Oryctolagus cuniculus: one gene and its partner. The main gene of each other region encodes a partner of the protein of the gene in region 2 in a complex. Links are inferred from orthologs where the notes say so. Each region holds a gene or a part of one and is shown on either strand. Other genes may lie near its edges. The genes, in order: BBIP1 and BBS4.

Region 1 (2,934 bases), on a different chromosome or scaffold from region 2:
TTCTGCAAAGCTTAAATATTTGGCCAGATCTAAAGGTATGTGCTAATTTTAACTGCCTATCAACTCCAAGAAATCAACCAAGAATTACATTAATAGTTTACAGAGGTATTCTTAGGAATATACCTATTCCTATTCTAGTTCAGTCTTACTAGAATTAAAATTCCAAATTTAATGTTCATGTTTCTATCATGGGCTCTTTCAAAACCACGTTATTTTAGGCTTATATAGATAATCACGATAACCATTTCCAGATTTTTAATTGTGTTTGATACCTGAGTCATAAAAGTAGTCATGTAATTCTTAAGTCCTTAAAATTAGTACAATTAAGAGCTTAAGTTGATTACAGAATAGGTAAGGGCTTCTTAAAAGTCAAATTTGTTTAAGAAATAGTTTTCTCATCATTAGACCATTACTGTCCATTACTGGTCAGCAAAATGGTATAAACATGATAGAGACACACAAAATTGGTTAAAAAACCTCAAATTACTCTCAAGTAAATTTTACTGTAATGTGGGTAATGTAAAAGCCTGATATGATCCTCTGTATAAAGAAGGTTGCATTTAATCACTTGTGCTAAGAATGCTGCCTTATAAAACTGATGGCCAACAGGAATGGTGAATTATGATATGCAATTTTAAAAACATGGTTTAAGTAAAAAAATAACTTTATTGCTTCAGCATTAACTGTTCAATACAAACCAGTGTTTAAATTCACCAATATAGGTCTTTATTTAGAAATACCAATACCAATACAGGTATTTCTATGAATATCAGTTTTATTAACAAATACTTTTCAGTTTACAGATCCAGATTATTTTCTAGTTACTACTGAATAGTAGGTAAGCTAGGGTGATTCCTAGTTCCCTAAAGTGGTAGGTTATTAGTGTGTTATTTGCCGTTGTTTCTCTGCCATTTCTTGTTGGCGAACTGTATCCTGTGCTGCTTGCTGCATTTTCTCCAGTTTTTCCAGAGTCAGAGATTTTAAGGGCAAAAGTTTTGGTTTACACAGCACCATTGTGGTTACATCTTCCACAGACAACTGCCCTAAGTTTGACAAGAAATAAGAATTAGTTTGTGAAGGATAACCCAGTTGTTTGGTGATATGGACTTGCACTAGAATTAAAGTCCAAAGGCAAACCATTTTCAGTGAAAATCTTTTAGACTGAGTTCTGCTGTGGGAGCAGAAAGATCAAAGTCACCCCATAGGCAACATTTCTTAACACTACAGTGGTCTTGAGGAAGACAAGTTTTGAATTCCTACTGAAGACTAAACTACCATAAGATATACAACATTTTGTGTCAGCTGTTTAATTTAAAATAACATTTAGGAAAATATATACATAGTACATAAAAATACAGCAAAGTACATTAATTTAACATAACTATTCCAGTTATGAAACCCTTAATGTAAACTAGCTTTTTGTAATGCTTAATTTTGGTTTCTTTTTCCTCAGTTTCAGATATTTCTGAATTGAATTACTTCATTAAAAATTTCATATAATCTGCAATCTTGGGTAACAGGATTTGCAGGTATAAGAACCACTGCCTCATTTACTTCCTCCTCTTATAGCCTACTTGTTAAAATTGTATGAGGATACTTCAAAAAGTCTGTGAAAAAGTGAATGACAAGGTTTATATTGCTGCAATAAAGAAAATCCATGCATTTTTTTCACAAAACATTTTTATGAACTTTTTGAAGACTTCATCTAGTAACAGTGGACAGTAAATGTGACATAAAAGAACAGAATAGCTGCAGAGGTTTTATTCTGCTGTTACTTTCTAGGTCCCTATGATAGTCCTAAGTATTTGTGATGTAGATACCTTGTTTTGGAAGAACTTCGCGGAACATTGACTTCACTTCTGCCATTTTTGAATTGTTGGATACAGTTTTTTCCTAAAATTAAAAAAGATTATTCAGGAATAATTCCCCAAAACATAACTGAGATCATTTCCATTATAGTTTAAAATGTAAAATCACAATTTGTACAGAAAATGGATTACTTTATCTCTGCATACTCTTCCCATTAATTTCCTGTGGTTCTTTTAATTGGAACAAGGTTGAGATAGTTTTTATACAAGCAGCCAAAGCTTGTCAACTTTGATCAATCAGTACTAGTGTTACCTGGAAGGCTGGGTGTTCTAAATTTTTCCCCTCCCAGTGAAAAACTGGTACTACAGGATTTTAGACAAAGGTGATAATAAGTACTAGCTGTGGAACAGGTGTTTACATGTAGCCACCGTGGTTCACTGATAGTATCTCCCCATGACCACCATTTGAGAGTGGGGTGAGGCAGTGAGGAAGAGGAGGTAGGCAAACATTTCTCAACATTCTGACTTCTCAATAGTTAACAGTTCTTTCAATCCCCTTTGCATAGTAAAAACATCTTAAGGAAGTTACTGACTACACAGCTGCAGTTTGTAAGCAAGGAACACAATAGGTTAAATTGGCTCTTGAAAAACCTAAATGATGACATGCTTTCAGCTTAGTAATTTTCTAATACAGAGATACTATTAAGCTAAAGGACTGACATACTGTTCATGAGTATTTTGTTAGGAATATCCTGGCATATATGCCACTTACCCAGTCATATCTGCTCGAAATGTTTCACCCCATATTACTAATTGCTTATGTTTAAGGTGTTCTGGACAAAGTTGTAGACTTGATGCTTCTCCAGAGAGTCCCACACACTTACATTTCACCATACTGATGCAGTCTTGCCATGCATCTTGACAACATCACCACAGAAGAAAGATTTACTGTTTATAAAGTGGAGAAGCTGGCTCAGTGCCTGCCTTTTCTGCCCACTGCAAGTTATAATGGAGTGAAGCTGCTTCTGTTCCTCTTGCTCCACTACTTCTCTGACATTCCTAATAAAAGCTCGCTACTGTCCACCTACCGAACCTTTTCCCTTCTCTTGTTCACATTCTTACTCTG
Region 2 (3,821 bases):
ATCTAACAGTGCTTTTGAGAGAACTGTCTTCGATGGTAGTTTTGAGGCTTGGCTAACTTCCTGAGAACACCAGCTCTGCCAGCCCCTAGTTCTGCCTTCTGCCATCTTACAGGCCCTGTTTTCACATCTTTGCAGGCCCCTGTAAGAGCTGGTGCTGTGGTGTAGCTGGTAAAGCTGCCACCTGCAGCACCAGCATCCCATACAGGCGCCAGTTTGCATCCCAGCTGTTCTACTCCCCACCAGCTCCCTGCTAATGTGCCTGGGCGAGCAGGGGACAATGGCCCAAGTGTTTGGGCCGCTGCACCCTTGTGGGAGACAAGGATGAATCTCCTGCCCCGTGTCTGGCCCAGCCCTGACCACTGCGGCCATTTGGGGGATGAACGAGCAGATGGAAGACCTCTCTCTGCCCCAGCCTCTCCCTCTAACTCTACCTTTCAAATACATCCATCACTCTGGGAGAAAAACCAAACGTGCTCTGTAGAAGGTGAGAAGCAGAGCAGCAACATTTTGTAATACTTCCTCATGAGAGCCACCTTTCCGTTCTCGTGTTCTTCAAGGAGAGCCTGCGTTCTCAGGGTGCAAGACGGGAAGCTGTGCCTTGCCCTCCAGCGTCCCAGCCCCGTGGGCAGGGCAGCATCGGGGTGAAGGCTCTGGGGCCTCACGGCCTGCGGTACCTTGTAGTTTGTAGGGTCGTAAGTCAGTGCATTTCCCAGGTATTCAAACGCCTTCTGGTAAATGCCAAGCTTAGAAAAAAGCAAACCAGAGAATTTATGTCAGCAGGGAGACGGAGTCAAGGAGTCTGGCCCACTCCACCCTCGACAGAAACATCCTGACTCTTCGGAGAGAAAAAGCTACAGGTATCACACACAGAAAACTGAAGAGCCCCCATGTTCTTCTTCTATTCTGTCAACACGTCCCCAGCTGGGTCAGTGTGCTTGTGGGGACCGCCTCTGCCTCCCGGCGTGGGCCACAGGGCCGCTGGGCGAGATGAGCTGCTGAGCCTCCTCTCCGTGGGCCCCGAGCCAAGTCGGTGAGACCTGGGGCACGCTCCCGATTCCCTTGTCAGCAGAAAAGCCACCCTGGGGCAGCATCAGCTGGGGAGGCTGATGAGGGTGGGTGGGTGGCTCCTCGGGGACCCCTGGGCCCTGAGGCTTACGCAGTGGAGGGACAGAGCTGGCAGAAGCCCACTCCCATGCAGGCATGTGGAAGGGACTCCTCACTCCAGGTGAGGGCACTTTGCCTTGTCTTTCCCAGAAGCCTCTAGCTGGGAAGGAGCAACAGCAGAGGGGTCTCCCAGCCCTGGACACTGCTGCCCGTCAACAGTGACGGAGCCCAAGCCCTGGACACTGCTGCCCCGTCAACAGTGACGGAGCCCAAGCCCACGCAGATGCCTCAGGCTCCTTCCTTGACTGGGTAGGAACTGTCATTGTAGAACCCTAACACAGAACTGCTCTTCTTTGGAGTGCATAAAATCAATTCTTGTATCAAAGAAAACCAAACACAGACAGCAAGGCTCATGTGTTTCAGGTGTTTATTAAAATGCGCTAATTATCGAAATAAAAGAAAACCACCAGGCACACACACCTACACCATTTCTAGTACCAACACAGGAAGGAGAGTGAAGCGCTTTCTCACCTGTAAGTAGAGTAACCCTAAAGTTGTAAGCAGCTCTGTGTTTTCTGGTGAGAACCTGCAACACAGAGACGGGAAGCAGAACATGCGTGAGACCCTGCCCTGGTGCCACACCTGAGCAACGCCACTGAGCCCCCACTCCCACTCCCACTCCCGTCTGCACATGCAGTTACCTTGGGTGGGCACTTGGCCACTTAGGGAACCCACATCCCATGCTGGAGTAGCTGGGTTCCAGTCCCAGCTGGCTCCTGCCTCCAGTTTCTTGCTGATGCAGACCCTGGGAGGTAGTGGTAACAGCTAAGTGACTGGGTCCCTGCTGCCCATCTGAGAGACCTGGACTAAGTTTCCAGTTCCTGGCACTAACCTCAGCCCAGCACGGGCCATTGCAAGCCTCTGAGGAGTGAATTGGCAGACGGGGAGCACACTGCCTCTCAAATAAATATGAAAAAAATTGGGGTCCAGCACTGCAGCATAATGAGCTAAGCCACTGCCTGCAATGCCAGCATCCCACATGGGCGCTTGTTCAAGTCTTGGCCATCCACTTCCGATCCAGCCCCCATGCTAATGTGCTGGAGAAAGCAATGGAGGATGGCCCAAGTTCTTGGACCCCTTCACCCACATGGGAGACCTGGAAGAAGCTTCTGGATCCTGTTTTCAGCCTGGCCCAGCCCCAGCTGTGGAGGCCAGTTAGGGCGTGAGCCAACAGATGGAAGATCTAACTCTGCCTTTCAAATAAATAAAAATGAATACTTTGAAAAGGAAAAAAGTTTTCAAGAAAGAATAGGTCGTTTCAGCCCAACCTACAGGGAAGACTGCTCAGCAAGAAAGGTACCAAGACTGAATGCAGACTCCATTCTCAGGGCCTTTTTGAAGGAGGACCAAAGTCCTAACAAAGAATGGTGTGTGACTGTCTTTGTTACACTAACAAAATAAGCAATGTTCAAGGCCACACACAACAACCTCCTCTTGTGTTCTGTTCCTGGTGTGTCACAGGACCAGGCAGTGTGAATTTAGGATTCCAGGAAGTGTCAGTTAGGATCCCAGGATCCCCAGTGCTGTGCTCTCAAATTAAGAAGTCGACCTAAACAAAAGCAAGACGGGGCTGGTGCTTTGGTGTAGCAGATAAAGCCTGCAGTGCCAGCATCAAATATGGGTGCCGCATCAAGTCCCGGCTGCTCCACTTCCAACCCAGCTCTCTGCTATGGCCTGGGAAAGCAGTACAAGATGGACCAAGACCTTGGGCCCCTGCACCTGCGTGGGAGACCCGGAAGAAGCTCCTGGATCCTGGCTTCAGATCAGCACAGCTCTGGCTGTTGCAGCCATTTGGGGAGTGAACCAGTGGACGGAAGACTTCTCTCTGCCTTTCAAATAAATAAATCTTTAAAAAGGCAAGAAGAGACACTGCAGCCCTCGGAAGGAATCAGCTGTTGGCCTTGGGAAGCAGTTCTCAGTCCTTACTGGCATTTGTCTTTGACACAAACCAAAGCAACAGGGGCAGGTGCTGTGGCACAGCAGGTTAATGCCCTGGCCTGAAGCACCGGCATCCCATATGGGCGCCGGTTTGAGAACCGGCTGTTCCTCTTCTGATCCAGCTCTCTGCTATGGCCTGGGAAAGCAGTAGAAGATGGCCCAAGTCCTTGCGCCGCTGCACCCACGTGGGAGACCCAGAGGAAGCTCCTGGCTCCTGGCTTCAGATTGGCACAGCTCCGGCCACTGCGGCCAACTGGCGAGTGAACCATCGGATGGAACACCTCTCTCTCTCTCTTTTTCTCTGCCTCTCCTCTCTTTGTGTAACTGACTTTCAAGTAAATACATCTTTTTAAAAAATGCTATTAAAACAAAAACAAAGCAACATAGAGCTGACAGCTGACAACACCAAAGGGCAAAAAATTATGTCACATGCTTCTAAGGACCAGGCAGGACACTGGCTACCTGCAGGGAGACCAGGAGCTGAGACCAAAGCCCCCCGCAGGGAAGGCTGAACACAGCTCTCCTAGTTCAGTGGGGAATCTGCCTTCCTCCTGCCATGATAGATACCCACTCCGACCAACCACCTCCCCCATGTAAGCACCTTCTGTGGTTCCCGCAGCTTCCATGGCCCCACCAAGGCAAGACTGCTCTCCCCAAAGCTGCCAGGCAGAAACGGGTCTCAACTTTCTCTGGGGCTCCACTCAGCTCTCTTTTTCTGC

What was found.
Region 1: the proteins of BBS4 (region 2) and BBIP1 are in contact, whole or in part, in a cryo-EM structure (PDB 6VBV), measured with the Bos taurus proteins. The link is inferred for Oryctolagus cuniculus from reciprocal best matches to the Homo sapiens genes BBS4 and BBIP1. Residues at the interface, in NP_001069424.1 of Bos taurus: Leu210, Leu213, Tyr236, Leu240, Ala241, Ser244, Gln247, Thr248, Ser269, Pro271, Asn274, Asn275, Met278, Phe281, Gly282, Lys284, Tyr298, Leu299, Pro301, Leu302, Asp303, Trp304, Lys305, Ile306, Tyr308, Asn309, Leu312, Leu315, Thr316, Gln318; in XP_003587939.1 of Bos taurus: Met7, Phe8, Arg9, Glu10, Val11, Leu12, Pro13, Lys14, Gln15, Gly16, Gln17, Leu18, Tyr19, Val20, Glu21, Asp22, Leu28, Lys30, Pro31.

The regions. Positions count from the first base shown.
Region 1 is NC_091446.1:19,349,756-19,352,689, reverse strand, and holds the end of BBIP1 (BBSome-interacting protein 1), read right to left. Parts: intron 1,894-2,934; 5' UTR 1,867-1,893; coding exon 1,821-1,866; intron 1,044-1,820; coding exon 880-1,043; 3' UTR 704-879; downstream 1-703.
Region 2 is NC_091443.1:110,558,494-110,562,314, forward strand, and holds part of BBS4 (BBSome complex member BBS4), read right to left. Parts: intron 1,691-3,821; coding exon 1,636-1,690; intron 744-1,635; coding exon 675-743; intron 1-674.